Caenorhabditis elegans: one gene and its partner. The protein of the gene in region 2 interacts with the protein of the main gene of each other region in a pairwise test. Each region holds a gene or a part of one and is shown on either strand. Other genes may lie near its edges.

Region 1 (10,233 bases), 7.6 Mb from region 2:
AAATTCGGCAAATTCGGGCAATTTGGCAATTTGCCGGAAATTTTCATTTTCGGCAAATTGCTGATTTGCCGGAAATTTACGATTCCGGCAATTTGCCGGTTTGCCGGAAATTTCCAATTCCTGCAAATCGCCGGTTTGCCAATTTGTCGATTTGCCGGATGTTTTGAATTCCGGCAAATTTGGTGGTTTGCCGATTTGTCGGAAATATTCAATTCCGGAAAATTGCTGATTTGCCGGAAATTTTCAATTCCTGCAAAGAGCCGGTTTGCCCATTTTGCCGAAAATTTTCAATTCCGGCAACTTGCCGATTTGCCGGAAAAGATTGTTTGCCGTTTAAGAAAAAAATCACGAAATCAATATATATGATCAAACGAAAAAAAAAAGACACACCTCAAAATCCAAGTCAACAAGATTTCCATTCGAACATTTCTCCGATTCGTCCTTTTCACAAATCTCCCAACCACCCATGTTCTTGTTATAATAAACTTCCGACTTATGGTGAAAGTAGCCGTGATGGCCTTGTCCAGGCAAGTGTGGTACGGGATCATGAGAATGTGTGACACGATACGCATTTGGGACCAGGTTGTCAACGCTGGTCGCGAAGTCCATGTTCCCGGTACGTGGTTGGCCGAATGTGACGAGGAGAAGCTGATCAGCCGATACGAGACTGGTATATCGGAGATATGTGGCAGCAAGGGAGGCTAGAGCTCCACCAAGAGAGTGGCCGGTGACCTGAAAATTGTCAGCGTCAGGCTGTCCCATCTCGGTTTGATCTACGTTGATCTACAAAAAGTGCGGGAGAAGAGACGCACAGTTCTCAACTGATTTCGCATGGTTAAGAACGTAGTGACGTCACATTTTCTGTGGAAGAAATTCCCGCATTTTTAGTAGATCAAATTGTAATGGGCCTGTGTACTCATGAGATGTCAGGCTGTCCCATTTCGGCTTGATCTACGCTGATCTACAAAAATTGCGGGAATTCAGACGCAGATTTCTCAACTGAATCACATGGTTAAGAACGTGCTGACGTCACATATTTTTGGGCAAAAAATTCCCGCATTTTTGGCAGATCAAACTGTAATGGGACAGCATGTTTATTGATCTCCAAGAAATGCGGAAGTCGGAATACGAAATTCGCTTTGAGACGCTAGTAGAACTCTTGCGTGTTTATCAGGAGTGTCCGGCAAATTTGGAAAATTTGCCGCACTCCCCAGGTGTAAATTTCCCGTTATTCTCGGAAATCGAACGTGCGAGGCTAACGAACCCAAACTTGATAACTTGGGTATCTAGACATCAGACTGATGACGTCATCTTTCATTCCAGAAGTCCATATTTTGAAAAACGCATCGCTGAAGTATTCGGAGACGTGCCCACCGGAAACCCAGGATTTCTGAAAATTTGACCTAGACAGAGCTTTTGCATAAACTAACTTACATTGTTTGCAAACACAGTTTCTACGGCTTCAACGAGCAGCTGTGCGTTACGATTAGTTCCACGAAAAGCTACCAAAATCGCCTGACTTTCGTGATCGACTCCAGTAAATCCAGAACATGTATCATCAAGTGTGTCGCAAGCTACAGTAATCTGAGGTTTGACTTGAAAATTTTGAAACGCCAAGCTCATGCAACTTTGTGGAGGAGAAGCGTACGCGGAGATGGCTGCATAGATCAGTTTATTCCGAGAGAGCTGATCGGAATATGGTATTGAACTGTGGGAGAATGATTTGCAAATTAAAACGGAGAAAATAAAAAGCATTTTGAATGTCAAATACATTAAATACAATTGTAATTGAAAATTTGCAAACTTAAATAGCTCTGTGAAAAGTGAAAAAAGTTCTGGTTGCAAGTGTGACTTTGTTGTTTGATTTTGGGATTACTGTTGCTCCGAGGCAATTTGTCATTTAACTTTGCTTGGAAATATGACGAACATCACGTCATCTTCAGATTGCTGTCACATTTGTTATCAAGGGAATTACTAGCTATTTATGCTCCGACGCCTGCCTCAAACCTGTACGGAAAAGGGGTGTGCGGCAAATCTCAAAACTTGCCGTGCTCGCCAAATTTTGCAAATCTCTTCTTCCAATATTTGCCGAGCACGGCAAATTCGGCAAATTTGCCGTGCTTAATTAACTCCGAAAATTTGATATTTTTTGATGTTTTTTGGAGCACCGAAACTACTGAATTCTGAATAAAAATCTGGTGTCTGAATAACTTCCGTGTAGTGTGTCTGCTTAAGCATCAAAATAACAACTCAATTTTATGCCATTTTACTAAATTTTTGGGGACAAAATCAATAGTTTTGGCCAAAATTGTATTGTTAAAAAATTTTTGATGTGTGCGGAAAATTTCGAAATTTATCGTGCTCGGCAAATTCGGCAAATCTACTGTTTTGAAATTTGCCGAGCTCGGCGAATTCGGTAAATTCGGCAAATTTGCCGCACATTCCTGGTGCGGACCTCTGCGAACATATGGGAGGCAGGCGCGTAGGCAGGCCCACCACTTCAACTCTGAACCACTGAATCAGTTGTGAACTATTTTATTGTTTAAAACATTGAAAAGTTAGTTCTTGACATTAGCACAATTTGAGTAGCCCAAGTCGCTGACATCAACGTCGAAGTAGTGAAGATGATCCTAAAAAAATAAAAGTATTGGTGAAGTAAAGAACTTTGGACGATTTATACCTTGATAGAAGTGTCTGGAAGAACTTGTCCGTTGGAGCAGAATTCGCTCTCATCGATATCATCGCAAATGTTGTACTTCGTCATTTTCTCCTTGTAGAACACCTCGGCCTTGTGGTGGGTGAATCCTTGCATGTTCTCCTTTGGAAGATGTGGCACCGGGTCGTGGGCGTGGGTGACGCGGAACTTGTTCGTGACGTCACGATCGACGGCGGCCGCGTAGGCCTTGTCTCCGACACGTGGCTGTCCGTAGGTGACGAGTTGAAGCTTCGAGGCGTCGAAGAGCTTGTTGTAGGTGATGTAGGAGGCGGCAAGGGAGGCCATCGCTCCTCCGAGGGAGTGTCCGGTGACCTGAAGTTTTGTAAGTACACGACTTTCCCACGCGTTGTCCGGCGGGCGGTTGTCAATGGAGCGCGAAAAATTCAATGAGGAAGGCCAGAATCCCATGATTTTGAGCCTTGGGAGACGAAAATAAATTTGCAACGGACAATGTTCGAGACCGCGTTTTCTTATGTGGACCACCTTGGGTGCTACACTAAACAGTATTCCGGGAAATGATAGGACTACTTTCAAGAAACCATTGTCACCACGGGATCATCACATGGATCCACAAGGATCTTTTATCCACTGGTTGGGTCCTGCTCATGCGCCAACAAGAATGACACGTGGAGTCAGAAAGTCCCATTTTGCTTTGATCTTCAAAAAATGCGGGAGAGGAGACGCAAACATCTCATCGGATTCCGCATGTTCAAGAGCGTGCTGATGTCACAATTTTTCTGGGAAAAATTCCCGCATTTTTTGTAGATCAAAGCGCAATGAGACAGCCTGACACCACGTGGAATGGGTTTTAAGTTTCTATAACATTTTTGTGGTTCGAGGTTGACCACTGACATTCCCGCGTTTCTGATCTGGACTTCTTATTTTATTTTAAAAAAAAATTTAACGAAGCATTATTGTTACACCTATCAGGCATCAAGGCTTGCGCGACGTACTGTGTAGCTGCACTGCAGCCCACGTGGTGTCAGAGTGTCTCATATCGGCTTGTTCTACGTAGATCTACAGAAAATGCGGGAGAAGAGACGCAGAGTTCTCAACTGATTTCGAATGGTTAAGAACGTGTCGATGTCACATTTTTCTGGGCGAAAATTTCCCGCATTTTTTGTAGATCAAACCCTAATGAGACAGCCTGGGACCACGTGCAGCCGACTTCGATCGAGATCTCAACCAACCCAGCTCATGTCGTCTGCGTCTTCCTGGGGGGTATACTCACTTATATCACAAGTGTAGGAATACACTGTAGAAATGCAACAACCACTTGCTTCATGAACTCGCAAAGTATATTTTGCTAGACTACGATAGCTGTCAACAACACGGGAGCACAGTCTACTTTAACCCCATCAATAATCATTTTCTTATCAGTTTTTACGAATTCTTACCCAAACTTGGAATCCTGGGTTTTGGGCGGCAAGAGTGTTAAAATCGTCCTTGAGTCCGGCGTTCCAGATGTTCAAAAATCCGTCGTTGAAGTACTGGGAGACGACACCTCCAGCAGCCCATGGAGTCTGAAACATGCTTCATTTATTCCGGAGTACTCGAAATTTTAATCTTACGTGATACTCGAAGACAGTCTCCAATCCTTCCAAAATAAGCTGCACATTGTTGTTAGTTCCACGGAACACCACAATAATCGCCTTGTCCTGTGGACTGACGGCGGTGTATCCGACGCATTTGTCGGCTGGGTTGACGTCACAGCGAGCCGTAATGATTCTCCTGATTGAGGCACCGGTGAACGCTTTGTCGAGGCACTGTTGTGGATTCGATCCGTAGGCGGCGCCGGCTGCGAAGAGAATCTTCTTGCGAGCAGTGGCGTCGTTGTATGGGATGGTATAGACGTCGAGGTTCTCTGGATTTTTTGGGGCTTCTGGTAGCACAAAGGCCGAAGCCAGTGGCAGAAGGACTGCAGCAAGCAGTAAGGCTTGCATACTGAAAGAATAATTTAAAGTTAACAAATGAGATGGAAGTTGGAAAATCGTTTTAAAACGTGACACATCTTATTCAGAAACACGTGACGTCACCGAAGTGAAGCCTGTGTGACGTCACTTCGAAACTTAATTTGCCGCAAATTTCGAATTAACATTTAAAACATGATTACTGGGAGAAAAGGTGGGAAAATGACGATACTCTGCTATTCGATTTCTCTTTATTAACTTTCCGTTTTCTTATCACCAATTCCGTTTCAAATATCACACAACCTATAAAAAAGTCGTTGATATGAATGATACCGCTTAACTTGTGCTCTTTTATCAAATTTTCAATCGAACCGGATTACGCAAGTAGTTTAAATGGTCGTTTGATTCCTCGAACCACAAACTAACACTGTAGGAGATGAACAAAGTTCTTGATACTTGAATGTTCAGTGGTGTTAAAAAAAATTCTACACGGGGTTCTGGCCTTCCTCGTTGAATTTTTTGCGCTCCATTGACAATCGCCAACGCGTGGGAATTCCTGTACTCCACACGGACAAATGCATTTAGTTTCACAACTAAAATCGAGCCGCGACACGCAACGCGCCGTAAATCTACCCAAGATATGGCCGAGCCAAAATGGCCTAGTTCGGCAATTTCTTCCATTTCAATTTATGAGGGAAGCCGAAAATCCGTGAATTCTACCTGAAAAATCAAATAATCAAATTTCCGAATGAAATGTTTTTGAAAGGCTGATATTTGATTTGATCAGCAAACTTTAAGAAAATTAAATTTCCAAAAAATGTTGTCAAGCCAACTTTATCCCCGCTTACCTTAAAATTGGAGTTGCACAGGTGGGTTTTTTTTAAATTCTAAATGATAGAATACAGTCTCAATATAACAAATATAACTGTCAAAAAATGTATAAAAATTTTTTAAATTTTTAATGATTTTTTTAAAATTCGAACAGGAAATATAATTTTTTTTTTGAATTCCCGCGCAAGTGAATGACGTCATTTTTTGACACTTTTTGGGAATATTGACTGCTTTTTCTTTACTTTTTCTTTGTTTCATAATTTGACGCATAATTTGTCAAAATTTTCAGACATTTTTCCCAAAAAAACACGTTTTTTTAATGCTAAATTATTGATTTTAGGCCAATTTTGGAGTTTCAGCAAATTTTTTTCATTTGCTGCGCCGAAAAATGTCTGAAAAACATTGTAAAAAATATTGAAAAATTTTTGAAAAATATTGAAAAAATCAAATTTATTGCCCAAAAATGCAAAAATGCCAAAAATGACGTCATTCATTTGTGCGGGAATTCAAAAATAATTCAGCTCTTTTTTTCAAAATTTATAAAATCATGAAAAAATTAGAAATTTTTTGTAAATTTTTTTCATAGTTTTAATTGATATATTAAGACTGTTTTTCGACCATTTAGGGCAAAATTAGCGCAAACGCTACCCATGGCGTCAGGCTGTCCCATCAGGGTTTGATCTACAAAAATGCGGGATTTTTTGCCCAGGAAAATGTGACGTCAGCATACTCTCAACCATGCGAAATCAGTTGAAAAATCTCCGTCTCTTCTCCCGCATTTTTCGTAGATCAAACTAAAATGGGACACTTTGACACCACGTGACGCTAGTCAACCTTTAAAGACAAATCTTCAACAAATTTTATTTTCATCAGTAAGTCACCTGAAGATTGATTTTTTGTGAGTTTTTATTCAGAAAATTTTTAGTTTTTTCTGCAATGACAACTGATTTGCAAATTCTTTTTAACTAATTTATCACAAAAGAAAACTGGGAATGAGACAGACGTCAATGAAGTCGAGCACCCGTAGTTGAGACTTGATAGGAAAACAATGTGGAGAAAAAAAACAACACTAATAAATTACAATTTTGGATCACAATTTTTTTTGGCACATATTAACCGGATCCCCGTTCCTGTGGTAAGGTTCTCAGTTCTGTTGAGTTGCCTGTAAAAATTGTAATTTTTAAATCGAATTCATGTATTACTTTTGACTCTTACTTTTGACTAGAGCTGTCTCACTGTTTCCACTTGAAAAACTGGAAGCCTGTGAAATTTCTCCGAGTTTTTCAGGTTTTTCCGGCTGTATTGAGTCGCCACCAAATAAACGAGATAAGTCGCCAGACTGAAAAAAAAGGTTATAGTCTGACAGTTGATATCTCGATTCAAATCAGTTATTCGAGTAAATTTCAATCGAGAGTTTTTTGATAATTTCTCAAATTTTTCAAAAGATTATAGATAACTCAAAAACCAGAAATGCTATCAAAATATGTTTAACTAATTAAAAAAAATCACGACAAAAATAAAGCGCCAGGAATCTTGTGAGTCCATTCTGGACGATTGGAACTAATGGGCCAGAGGTGAGCAATCGCCTTTTTCCGGCAAGTCGGCAAGTCGGTAAGTTGCCGGAATTGAAACTTCCGGCGATTCGACAAACCGGCAAATAGGCATAGTTTCAGGTGTTGCCGTCTTATATAAATTCTCTCTAAAAACTTCCGGCAAGTTTATGTTCGGCAAACGGCAAATCGGCAAATTGTTGGAAAATTGGCAAATCGGCAATTTGCTGATTTGCCGAATTAGTCGACAAAAAAATTGACGAACGACAATTGTCACCAACCCCTGAATACACTAACTCAATAACCAGATGATTAATCGAAATTTGATAAAAATCCAATATAGTGTTTGGCAAATTTGCCGATTTTGCCGTTTGCCGAATTCGGCAAAAAATGGACAATTCAATTTTTACTAAAACTAATAATTTTGTTCCAAAAAATCTGAACTCACAAGATGTCGGCCGCTTTATTTTTTGCCACATCTTCTGTGAATAATTCAAACACGCAAAACCATAGTGTCAGTTGAACATTCTTTGATAGCAGACGTGTTCGGCAAATTTTTAGATTTGCCGCACACACGTGGTGTCAGAAAGTCTCATCGCGGTTTGATCTACAAAAAATGTGACGTCAGCACACTCTTAACCATGCGAAACCAGATGAGATGTCTGCGTCTCTTCTCCCGCATTTTTCGTAGATCAAAGCGAAATGGGACTTTCTTACTCGACGTGCGCGTAAGTCGACTTGCGACCTACCTCTATAGGTTACAGGACGCCCTAAAATTTTTTCAGGCAATAACTTACGGTAAGCAATAACGCCGGCAAAAATATAATTCCATGAAGCAACCCAAGTACAGTAACCAGAAGAATCGTTTTCACAAACACCCAAACCATATAACTCGTGTTGAACATCAATGGGAAAATGCATAACACTGTCGAGCTTGCGGCCTGAATCATTGGCCATCCGATAGATTTCAGTGCATCGGCAAGGCGCTCATCAGTGGTCCAACTGGTGGGGTTCCGGTAGTAGTGATAGGAGATGTGCGCTGTAAAGTCCACCGAGAATCCGATAGACATTAATGTGGTGCACATCGTGATCGGATCCAAATTCACTCTCCACATTGACAAAAGACCGAAGACTCCAATATTGATGGATATCATTGCAATGGTACTTGTTAGGATTGAGTTGATGCCAGGGATCATGAGAAGGCATGCAAGATCCATTGTAATTGCAGCCCAGATTACTGTAGACATGGTCGTCGCGCCGATTGAGTCAAGTTGGTCAATGTAGAAAGAGTAGCTCTGAACGAAAAAATGCAGCTCTTTTACTGGTATTTCAGGTATTTTTTGTTAGGGATGGGGTTATTCATGCGATTTAGAAAAACTCAAAAATGCATTTATATAAATTTTCCCCCTATTCATAAGTGCCGAAAAAATGTTGTTTTTTTATATAATTTTTTTGCATTTGTGAAGTGGGCTGCCGGCTGATGTCGAAAAATGCAGAAAAATGTTGAGAAATGCACATGGGGTTCTGGCCTCCCTCGTTGCGCTTTTCGCGCTCCATTGACAATCGCCTGCCGGACATGGGAAAGTCGTGTACTCCACACGGACAAATAGATTTAGTTTTCCAATAAAAACCGGGCCGCGACGCAACATGCAACGCGCCGTAAATCTAACCCAGTCGTGGCCGAGAAAAAATGGCCTAATTCGGCAAACTCTTACATTTTTAAATATGAGGGAAACCAGACGCGCGTGGGCGTTTTTGAAAAATGTAAAAAAGGTCGAAAATGAAGAAAAATGTCGAAAAGTGTCTAAAAATGGAATAAATGGATGTGTTTTTTTTTCGACACTCATGAATAGGGAGAAAATGTATCACAATACATTTTGCATTTTTCTAAAAGGCACGAATAAACCCATAACAGCCCTAATTTTTCGTAAATCACTAACCTGGAAAACTGTAACGTTAAAATGCTCATATTCATGTGCTACGCCTCTCCACTGCTTTTGTAATTTCTCACGAGTCGACCAATTTGCATCGTCGCCCATCGCGCAAGCAGTTGCAAACATGAACTTATCAATTCCAAGTATGGTACCATTTTCGTCCTTCTTCAACCTCAACATATCATTCCATCTGGCACCGCCTCCTTCCGAGTCTTCAAGCCATTCTTGCAAAAGCCCATTGAATCCTTTGTTGTTGTGGTATAGAGAGCTTTGATATAAGAATGAGCGTAGCCAAATTGAGGTTGAGTTCTTGCCCATGGAATATGGAAGCGTTTCGAATCGATTTACAAGTTCTAGGACTTCATGTAGATTCTCTGATTTTGTTAAATCAGGAGGATTATTCACAAAAACCATGACCAATTGCCCTTCACTCCACAAGAACCGTTCGTAGATCCATGCGATATGGTTTAACGGGGAATCATTCATGATAAGATTAGTAGTGTCCATTTTGATTTCCATAGTTTTACACCCGTAGTAAGAAGCTGTCCAATAGCCACAGAGCACCAGGAGTAAGCACAAACGGGTCTTCCAGTCCTTCAAAAACCTGCAGTACCTGCTGACTATCCCATTTGGGTTTGCAGGTGGTGGATGGGCGCCGGCAGTTGATCGAATAGAATTCTGTATTGATAACACTTGCTTCGGCCTGCGCTCCATAGCCGCTTCGATTTTCTTCTCCTCTCCGACCTTCTGAAGCTTCATCAGACGTTTCTCCTCATAAACTAGAACTGCCACAAAAAATGTTAGCTGATATACAAAATCCACAGCAACCGCCACACAGGTGTATAGGCAGAAGAGTGAAATTGCAGGAGTCGGGGTTGCGATTCCGATGGCAAAGGACAAGCAGTTCGTAGCCGATGTTACGGTGATTGAGGGTCCTGCTTCTTCCATGGTCTCCGCAATTCGGTCCTCTAGACTTTCAGATTTATCGGTTTTTCTCATAGCATGAATGATAATAAATACATCATCACATCCTACTCCAATTATCAAAAATGGCATTACCAATGTGATAGAGTTGAATGGAAATCCGAAAAGGAAGAGGAATCCAAAAGCGGTTCCAGTTGCCATGAGAGGTCCGGCGATTCCCAAGATAGCCATCACAACGTTGTGAGAGAACACGAAATGCTCCCGACTATTCGTGGCGAATATGAAAATGACTACAGCCGCGACAGAAAAGGAGAAGAATGGCACACATGTCATTCCATTCGTTCGGACTTCTCGAGCAATCATCGCAT
Region 2 (10,657 bases):
ATAAAGAGTGTGCAGAGCGGTGAGACGCAGTGAAAGACACTGTCCCGGAATGGAGTTGAGTACGTTTACGGTCAATGAGAATAGAGCTAGGCAAATGAACGTTTATAGTTAGAAGAAGTAGAAGAGGAGGGAGGATGATGATAAATAATTAGAACACTACATTTCTACAGTAATCCTTCAAAAGTTTCTTGCTTTTAAACTGCTTCGCTTGAGCAGTGTTTTCAGATCCAATTTTTGGGGCATTTTTCCTGTTATTACTAGTGTCAAATCGAAAATCACAAAGAGTATCAGCAGGTAATGTCAAAACAATTGTGTTGTTTCGTAGTTAAATGTACATCGGTTATGTGCCTTTTTCATCTAACTTATAGTTAGGATATAGTTGAATACATGTACAGATGAATGACGTGGTGCAAAGGTGAATATATTCAAATGTGCGGCGTCGCGTCGGAGACCCCACGCGCCTCTGCCCTCCATGGTGGGGCTGTGGGATGCCTGATGCAGATGCACATAGGAAACTGCCTGCTGCACACTATTTCGTTTTGGTATCGATTCATTGATACATACTTCTGATGCAGCCGCCAGCCATCGTGGAGGACGAGAGACGAGTCGTGCAACATGCCCTCAACACTGATATGATAACAGACACTCTTTCGTTATGTCGACGAATCGTTCTTCTCGTCGTTGATGATGACAACTTCGAGAAGAACACACATAGACTAACATCCATTGAGAGGGGGGTTCAGAGCTATTCGGAGATGGAGTAGGATTTTCTCGAAGCGGAGTTGGTGCGCTCCATTTGTCAAGTGTCTTTGTAGAGAATACACAGAAAAAGCACAGTGAGGAGGAAAGTGCCTCTCTCGCACGCGGGCGGAAGAGCAAGAGAGCCGGTGTATGTGCTCCATCTCTTCATTCCCGCGCGAGAAGCAAAGAGTCAACTTCTTCTCTCTTCTTCTCCCACCCCGCTTCTTCTCCTTCTTCTTATTCTTCTTGCAGCTAGTCAGTCAGTATCGAGGAGAGCAAAATAAACATTCCAACGTCTGTCCTCTTTTCATCGTCTTCGTCTTCTTCTTCAAAGATTCTCGGCCGATTGGGATTGACTGACTTGACGGGAAAGACGGGAACGTTGAGTGTACAGAAGGATAGCGGGAGGTCGCGCAACATACAGACACATACTGTTGGAGAAGTCAGTGAAGAAGAAGAAGACGAATGGAGAAGAAGGCGAGGACGATGGTGACGAGGAAGGGGAAGAGTAAAGGGAACAGAAAAAGAAAAAAGAGCGTCGATGGTAAGGACAGAAAAACCAGCAGAATATACGGAAAAGTGATACATATTGAGATGTGGATGAATGATGTGGTGAAGGTTGTCACCAAAATTTTTAGAAAAAAACAGGAGATAGATGAGTGGGTGGAAGTTATCGTGTATCTAAAATGGTGTCTTCTTTTGTTGACCGAAATTATTATTCAGACTACAAGAAATAAAAGTTGCATAACCACAATCCAACATTTTAATTTTGTGTCGAATTGGGGTATGTTGGAATGTTTATTATTATACCTTTCATTTCCAATTCTTCTTCTAGAAAAAATTTAGAAGTCATATCACCTTCTAGTTTTGCAATTGTTTGGTCTGATAAGTGATTTCTCATTTTGAGATGGGAATTACCTAGATAACTAGAGAGAACTATAACTGTATTTTGTACTTTTCGAATCATAACATACTTGAGAGCAAATAGCTACAAAAATAACATCTACAGTAGTAACATAATTGGATGGCGTATTTCTTTTAAAAAATCAGAATAGAAAGAAGACGTCAAAGTGGTGCGACGGCTCCCTGGTTTCCATGCCTCATTCTCACTAATCGCCTTCTATTCAAGGGATTCTCCTCGCCGCGAGAATTCATAGAATCATCCAAAGAGCTCACTTCTCACACGGCACCAAAACATGTTGTGATAAAGCTGATAAGATAGCGATTCAGATGACTATGAAAAGTGAGAAAGGAGGAGCTCTTCTTCTCTTCAAAATGGGGATTAGATGGGAGACCGGAGGAAACAGAAACGAAAAAGAAGACTCTGGACGACGATGACGAAGGAGAAGAAGAAGGAGACGCATCCCCCCGGAGACACTCACCCACACATGTCTTCTCTTTTCTTCCTCAAGATGCTCAACGCAGATTCTGGAGCGCCCTGGAGCACAAGAGAGGGCTCCAAAACGACCCGCTCTTCGTTTTTCCTCCACTCTTCCTCTTTGTTGACAACATTCTGGTGGTGTCTCCGGGCCAGCAGACAAAGAGACATTAAACTTGACGGAAAAGAGAGTCGGGTCTCTGAAGGATTCAAGGAGACTGACTAACAGAATGAAGAAGGAGACGACCACGATGTCAAATGATTCGGAAGATGTTGACAGACGACACGTGGCAAACAAGTGAACACTCGCACAAAAGTGTTAAAGGTAAACGGGGGAGGGAATATTGGAGCACAACCACCACTCGGCTGCTTTTGAGGCAGTTGAGGTAGTGGTTGCTCCTGCTGACAGTGACACATAAAGGTGAATAAACAGATGAAAGAGGCGAAGAGAAGAACGACGGCGGTGAGGTTTTTGGTAAAGTGAGGCGGTGATGATGGCGGAGTTGTGTGATTCCGACCGCAGCTCCGTCAAGCTCCCGAGTCCACTGGAAGCAAACAACGGCGGAGGTGCACGAGCTCACGGAGCTGTTCTCGCTTTACTCATTGGGATTGAGATAATAGAGACGATGGGCTATAGTGTTCTGTATATACTAAGACTCCTATGATATTTGTTAAGGGGTTAGAGTTGTGGAAAACTAGGTTTACAAACTTTATATCCAATTAAAGTACCTAAAATTATCAATAGACACAATTCTCTAAAACTGTGCCGTATGAACATTTTTGGAAAAATACAGTACCACTGAGAGTACTGTATGTTTCATTATGGAACTCGTTTAGAATCACTACAGAAAGAAAAACTGTGAAAGAGGTCACCACCATTTCCACAAGTCTTCATCTCCTTTTTCTTCATCTTTTTCCCTGTTAGAGGCCCGGTCTCCATCTTGACACAGACGTACATGTCTTCTCAATCTCAAGTCAAGATGGACGACGTCGCCGTCTTTGAAGACGACGAATGAAATGAATATGGAGAAGAAGAAGACCAGCACAAACACAGTGTGGTGCGGTGTACAGACACTCAGAACAAGAGACAGAGAGGTTATATGGAGAGTGAGGGTTGGGGCAGATAGTGCGTCTAACGGAGAGATGACGTACATTTAACTGGGTGCCTAAAGACAATACATATGTGTTTCTGGTGACCCGACCTAACATTGAAGCACACTTTTCAAAAAGGGCTTCTAAAAGGTCTGCTCTCCAGGAGACGTGACACGGATAAAGATGGAGTGTGGATCTCAGAGAATAGACGGAATAGAAGAAATGGGAGGAGAAGCTCAAAGTATTATGAGAAGATTATAGCTTCACTCCCTCAGCATTTGTGCCCCTTTTCTTGTGCTTCCTAGTTTTCAGAAGATACAAATAAACAAAAATTCAGAAGTGAAGCAGATTCGAGGAATGTTCTAATAAATTCTCTCTAGACTCAAAACGGAAAGAAGCCATCTGTCGATGTGGATTGAAATGGACGTCCTTGGACATTGACATCAAAAAATCAAAATGATGCGTGGCACACCGGTTTCGGCTCCGTGATGGTCATTGGTAGAAGAGGAGAGTATTTGATAAGCACGTCACTGCAAAGTATTTTCCCACTTCCGTCATTGGACGGCTTTCTCTTGGAAATTTCTGCAGAGCTTCCAGCTAGCTTCTGACCAAAATGGCAAATTGTAGTGGAAAAAATTTTTAGTTCATTTTATATAGTGGAAAACTATTTCCAGATATAAAATAATGCATGGTGGTACAACTTAACATGTACTAATTCAGGTTATAAAAGTTTAGATATTTTTGAAGTCAGTTTTTTATTTATTGTTTGAAATCTAGAAAGAGAAATCTACACTAAAACCCAAATTAACGCAATTACCAAACAATTACCAATTTATAGTGATAGGAACACAAAACGTATGAGGTCACCTGTAGTGTTTGCTCAAAACGAGAAAAATAAGTAGGAGAATTTATGTTGTCTCTGTTATCACAGCCACTCTCCAGGTTATTCAGGATGATATGGGAGGTAGATAAGAGAAAAAGAGAATGAAGAGAAGAACAGATAGAAGCACAATTCTAGTGACGTGGAATTCTTTATTCCTCCCTCTATTGGATCAAGCTCAATTCAATATTTCATCTGTCGTTCTCCAGTAGCGTTTTGCCCACCAGAAAAATAATTCTACAAGAGAAAAAAAAAGATGAAACACCGCTTTATCAGAAGTGTTGTCGAGAAAAAACGAAGCATGAACGATGAAGATTGGGAGAAAGAAGAAAATAAGTGGTGAGAAGCCTGACGTGGAGGCAATACCGGCGCGGAAAAAGAGAAGAATTTCATGGACTGATTGATTGGAGTTTGGGAATATGGTAGTGTCATCGATAGAAATAGGTTGGTCTAATGAAATATTGAAGAGGAGAAAAACGTTTCGAACTTTTTGGTAAATTTGAGCTACTACATACGAAAGCTATTGAAATCTCAAAAAATAATTGTAAAGTTTAGTCCTTGGCTGGAATTGGAGGGTTATAAAATTGCTCGTTTAAAACTTCAATTCAATCGTATTGGTCAGATTTCTCGAAGTTATTCGTATAATATTTAACATGCCAAAATTCGTACCATTGTTTTCGGAAATTGAGAATTTCTAATTCAAACTAGAAATTTTCAAAGCAGAAACTGAGTTTCTGTGTGATCTCAACATACAAATGTTCTTAGAAGCTCACACGACAAAGTCTAAAAAGTGTAGGATTCTTTGAAAAGAGGACATGCTCCTTTACATGCTCAAACGGCTCTCAGGAGCTCAGGTGACTGAGAAGAAGATTTTGTGAAAGGCGGAGCACTTCTTCTCTTCATCTTCTACTGAGATGATGAAGATGAAGAAGAAGAAGCTTTCTGGTTGCTATGCGGAATAAAGAAACACAGAGAGAAGCGCTCTTCTCATACACACATCTCCTCCAGAAAGCGTCCGTTCTTGACTTGACCGACATGAAGATGAAGAAGGAGAGTCAGTCGGTTTACAACACAAAACTTGAGAAGAAGATGAAGATGAGTGGAGACGCAGGACCACGGGCTCCTGAGCCGGGAGGAGTTGGGCTCTCAGGTTGAAGATGAAGCGGATGCGGAAGTTGAGATGACACTCTTGTATAAATTCTTGTCAGCAGAGTTTAGACTACTATAGTTTGTAGTGTTAGGCACAAAAGGGAACGATGATATCAGAAGGAAAATTTACTCTTATAACACGGTTATAACTTATATTTGGGAATCAAAAATTCCTTGGACGTCCAAATTGTTTATAAGATAACTATCATTAGCGACTCTAAGATTGAAGTTTTGTTTGAACTGTTTGAAGATTGAAATATTCAAAATGTAAGCGTTCATGTAAACTTTAAAAATGGCAGAAGGTATTTCTCACAGAATGGCTTCACCATCGTTCAACAAAAAAACTGAAAGCCGAGCTCTTTCACTTTAGCTCACTTTCGTCCATTCCAGGAAAGATGGCCTTCTTCTTCCATCTCGACGACCACCAAAACGATGACTTCATTCCCCCTATTTCCATCTCCTCACCACTAAATGACGAGTGTGTAGTTGAGAAGGCGAAAAAGAGCTCCAGAATTCGAAAAGCCCTCCTCTCCTCCGCTTCTTTTTTTTTCGTTTTCGTCCCGTCTTCCAACAAGCCATCTTCGTCTTCTTCTTCTCTAATTTATTCACTCTCGGCCACAGGGGGTTCCGAGAAGATGTCACCACCGACAACATCAGAAAAATATTTTTAAGGGTCATGTCACGAATTGGTCCGTTTATTAGAAGCACTGCTTTTCAGGTTTCTTCAGAAGAATTCATGATAAAGACAGAGGACATTTTGGCCTTCCCCTTGGCCATTCATCCACTATTCATCCCTGATTACTCATTCATCCGTATTTTCCAAGTGTGTCCGCTCTCCTTTTCAGCTTCCTCTCTCCAGAATCCTCTCCAGTCGCTATGACGACGATGAGGAAGAGCAACAGGATACAAGAAGCAAATGTGGAGGATGGCACACGACGAGAAGAGAGTCATGTAAGGATTTATTAAAGAGGTGGTGGTGTTGGTGGCTACTGGTGAAAAGAGGAAAAAGAAAAGGGAAGCACGTCCAAAATGTACAAACAAGAAGAGTTGGAAAACGAGGGGTGAACAATATAGAGAAGGGATTTTACAAAGCGAATGTAGTTTACAGATTCATTGTTGTTGAATTCAGGGCATCCCGCATGGCAGACATTGTCACATCATCATAAGTGCAACAGATTTTGGCTTTGCCATTTTTGGTTCGGTGACAGATTTGGTTTATTCCACGACAATTGTCATCTGTGCATTGCTCTCCGGTCTCAACATAATCCTTTGGACATCCTGAAGTAATAATTCAATAAAAATGAAGATCTCTAAAAATTTAGACATTGGTAGAACAATTTATGGATTTACAGAAAAATCCCAAAAATATGTCATTAGTTTTCTGCTTTCTATGATTATAGTTTGTAATTTGATAAGGGTGTTGTGGCAGCAGAATTATAAAATAACTCTAATTATTGTTTGCACTTTTGCAAAGCTAGTTAATCTTGTGATAACTGAAACAGATATTCATATACTGATTTCAAGAAGGAATGCATTGAACAATTTTTCAAAATAAAATTTCCTTGGAAGTCACTTACTGTTAGTTCCCTTGCAGCAAACATGGGTATTTGGATCACACATATGACCCATACTACAATCACTGGATCTCTCACAACGAATTAATTGCCCTGACTTGTCTACTGATGGTTCTCCTCTTAGGCCAATTGAGCACATAATTCTTTTGCACTGTCCGTCAGCATAACTGAAACCTGCTGGACACGAACAAATACTTCTGGCACATTCCATTTTTGCAACTTCAGCGTACTCTTCGGCGGCGTCGGGACTCTTTGAGTAGACGCATTGCGACGAAATGTGACAGCTGTCTCCATAGTACGCCATTGAAAAGCACTGGCCTTCGTGGTAGATGTCTTCGAGTGAAACACAAGGCTTTGGACAGCAAATCTGAAATTTTAGATATTCTTTCAAAGGGGTTTGAGATTTTGAAAACCATACAGATTTCTCGGTGGCTACAGAATCCCTATGACAGTAATAATCTACGGGACATTTGTTACATCCATAGTCTGGAGGATATGACGATTCATGTGGTTCTCCCACAGGGCATGTTGGGCGAATTTCGGATGGAGACGGACAACAAAATCCCTTATAATAACCGGGTTTACTTGCATCATCGAACACAGGAACACAATAATGCTCATCTGGACAATCATCTCTTTCATTTCCAAAATCCAAAAGAGTTCCATTTTGAATTCCTTTCATTAGACGTTCAAATTCGGCATCGTTAATATCACTTCCATTTTCTGACTTTTTCAGGCTTCTGAAACTGGTGGAGACACTCGAAAGAAGAGAGTTTTTGAGAGAGCATGTGATAAGCTTTTCATCTCGTTTTAGGGGAGCTGCTTTGTTGACACATCGGTACTCTGCAATTTTCTGAGATGAACTAGTTTCAATGAAGTTTGATTGATATCTAATTGATAAAAACATTTGTGCTGAAAAAAACTCACCAAGGGGTTCACAACCTCCATCACCATTTCTCTTGAAACCTCTCTTACATCTACATCCTCCTGAAGAGCATTCTGAAAATGCAGCAGAGCATTCCATATCAGTCTTACACTTTTCTTTCAGACGTCTTCTAACTCTTTGACAAGTTTTTCCATCGGAAGCAAGTGTGTATCCAAAGTCTGTGGCACACTCACACATACAATTTCCACGGGCTCCACAGATACAAGCTGCTCCACCAGAACATCCAGATTGTGGAGAGCACACTTGTCCTCGCCACGGACGTTCATTTTCAATGATTGCTGGTGCACGGGTAACGACGACTGGGGGCTCAACATCTACACCTGGGACGCAGCAGAATCCAGTTGTAGTCTCACAGAAACCATTCTCAGGGCATGGCATTACTCTTCCTTGTTTGAATTGGCACATAATAGGTTTGCCAGTTATGAAGTTAACCATGGTTTTCTTAGTTTTTGGACAGGTTGGTAGTTCTGAAGAATGTAAATTTTACCGGTTAATTTGATAATGAGGATCCTCATTTAATTTTTCAAAATGAATAACCATGTCCTGAAATATTTACGTTTTATTGAAAACGTGGTCCCTTTTTTTTCCAACGAGAATTTTATAATCAATACGATTTCTTACTTGTACAACAAACTCCATGCACTGGATTACAGATGTGAGTTGATGGGCAGTCTTCAGTCAAATCGCAGATTGTCAGAGTTCCAGTAGGAGAGAGGACAAGTGCACCTCCTCCTGGACAAAAATCTTCCGATGTTCCTCCCAATGCCGATTTCGGGACAAGTGACTTGAAGCATCCGGATTTCTGTCGTCCGTTAACATTGCCAGGGCGACACTCTTCACCCTAGAATACGTTTAAATGAATCTCCGCGCATTTTAATACTTAGAAGTTAAAAAAAAACGATACCTCGTCACATTGTAAATCATTGGAACACGAATCTTTCCTACAAGCGCCTTCTTGACAGAAGAATCCTCTACCACATTGCATTGAATGAGTACATCCTCTTCCAGACGCTGTTCTAGCGCTGACAACTCCAATGAGAAATAACAAAATTGACAGGATGACTAGCCGACGGGATCGCATTGCTACTGACTGAAACTAAAATCTCCAGCTATATCCGATCTGCCCCAAAGGACCGCCCTTTGAATGTTGGCACACCTGTTGGTTGATTCAGCCGCATGCTCAACTGACCGTTATATTTGGTCACTGTCTTCAATCGTGTCAACAACATGTACATTTTTATGTATATCATCCAGCATCAATGAGAACGCGTGCAGCTAAAATTGGAAACATTGCATACAAATGGGCATGGTTGTAAGGGGAAATGGAAATGTTTAAAAATAAAATAGTGAAGAACAGTAATGTACAAAGACTCGAATTATTAGGCAATCACACATCCACTGGAATTGCTGGGATCCTTTTCTGTTTGGTAGATTTTCTCCTCGTGAACTGGATCAAGCTTTGACTTGCTCTGAAATTAGTGATTACAACAGTTTAAATGCTTTATTCTTTTTAATAAATGCATTTTTTAAGTCGAATGTTTTAAGGAAGAAATTTAAAGGAGTTTTAGTATGACAAATTCGAATGTTTCCTAGATTTTTTGGAAATGAAAAATGAAAAAAAATTTCCTTGTAAATGTGTTAACATTTGATAAATCCGTATACTGTTCAAATTATCTGTTGTTTTTTTTAGATCAAACTAACGGAAATTGCATGTTTTCGCTTTTTTTGAACGGATTTTATTGTCAAAATTGTATTTTTGGTAAACGCTCAATTTTTGAATTTGCTGTTTTTGAATTTATATCCAATTTTTACTTTAGAAGGCAAGAACGGAAATAAAAATTGAGCGTTTCAAATTGAAACACGTTTTTCCAGAACTCAAAATATTTGTTATGTAATTAGTTTAATTTAGTTTTTAAAAAATCGACGCGCCTACCTTTTTAATTTTTGAAAAATCTGGCATATTTGCTTTGGACAAATCAAAAGCGGAATAAACTGCCGTATTCCATGATTCCGCTGGTGGAGGATAGGTAAACGAATCAAGTTTAGCCAATCCATATGTTGCTTCTACATCCAATTGAGGAATCTCATCTGGAACTTTTTGATGATAGATGAATCCATTTTCTCGCTCCGCTTTTTCCAAATGTCGATTGAGCAATGGCTCGATTCTTCTGAAGAACAAGTGTTGCTCAGGCTTGATACGAGTTCCAGGACCAGTTGCAGTTGCATACATTGCTGCCATTTCTTTAGCAACTCCATACTCAGCAATTCCTTGCTTACAAGCTCTCACAGCTTCTCCACATTTATCCTCTGATAGTTGTTTCTGTCCGAGGAAGGCAAAAGCATACGCCAAATAGAAATGATGCTTCAATTGCAGATATCTTCTCCATCTCGCAAAACTCTCATCAGGCAAATTATTCAGGCATTGATCAGCTTTTGAGAATATCGATGCAGTTACAGCAGCAAGCGATGAGATTAATCCATCATCATGTTTCATTTCAATAGCTCTAGCTACAATGACCTCTTGTGCTTCTGCTGTGGCAGTCAAAATATACGTTTCCATAACTTTCGGATCAAAATCTGAGCCTTCAACTTCATTGGCACCGGAAAGTCGTGATGATTCATCTTTCACATATTGGAACATTCCACCTGCTTGTCTCAAACACTGAAGACATTCCTTTGCATCAGATTCTCGTACCTCATCCTTTCCAGCCATCGACGCAGCATGCTTTGTGAGCCACATTGCCATACATTGAATCATACTGAGAGCTTCAAACCAAGTATCCGAAACTTCTGTGGCGGCTTGTGGAAGCATTGAGTTACCCCATTTGAAGCGGATCAGTGGAATTAGTTTGCTGTTTTTGTTGCCTGCGTCCTTGTTTTCCCTGATAAAGAGCGTA

Evidence for each region.
Region 1: the proteins of B0507.1 (region 2) and T21H3.1 interact in a two-hybrid assay, tested with the Caenorhabditis elegans proteins (one large-scale study listed by BioGRID).

What each region holds. Positions count from the first base shown.
Region 1 is NC_003283.11:1,171,151-1,181,383, reverse strand, and holds T21H3.1 (Fungal lipase-type domain-containing protein), read right to left. Parts: upstream 4,661-10,233; 5' UTR 4,660-4,660; coding exon 4,288-4,659; intron 4,240-4,287; coding exon 4,114-4,239; intron 3,029-4,113; coding exon 2,681-3,028; intron 2,631-2,680; coding exon 2,559-2,630; 3' UTR 2,520-2,558; downstream 1-2,519. Other genes in the region: F25A2.1 (Fungal lipase-type domain-containing protein), read right to left, coding at 391-732, 1,265-1,390, 1,435-1,755; ptr-16 (SSD domain-containing protein), read right to left, coding at 6,570-6,619, 6,673-6,796, 7,805-8,302, 8,948-10,233.
Region 2 is NC_003283.11:8,774,844-8,785,500, reverse strand, and holds B0507.1 (EB domain-containing protein), read right to left. Parts: upstream 8,932-10,657; 5' UTR 8,917-8,931; exon of another isoform or gene 8,871-8,916; intron 8,857-8,870; 5' UTR 8,842-8,856; coding exon 8,665-8,841; intron 8,602-8,664; coding exon 8,382-8,601; intron 8,228-8,381; coding exon 7,742-8,227; intron 7,658-7,741; coding exon 7,233-7,657; intron 7,182-7,232; coding exon 6,818-7,181; intron 6,519-6,817; coding exon 6,343-6,518; 3' UTR 6,183-6,342; downstream 1-6,182. Other genes in the region: B0507.2 (BRO1 domain-containing protein BROX homolog), read right to left, coding at 9,140-9,229, 9,694-10,642.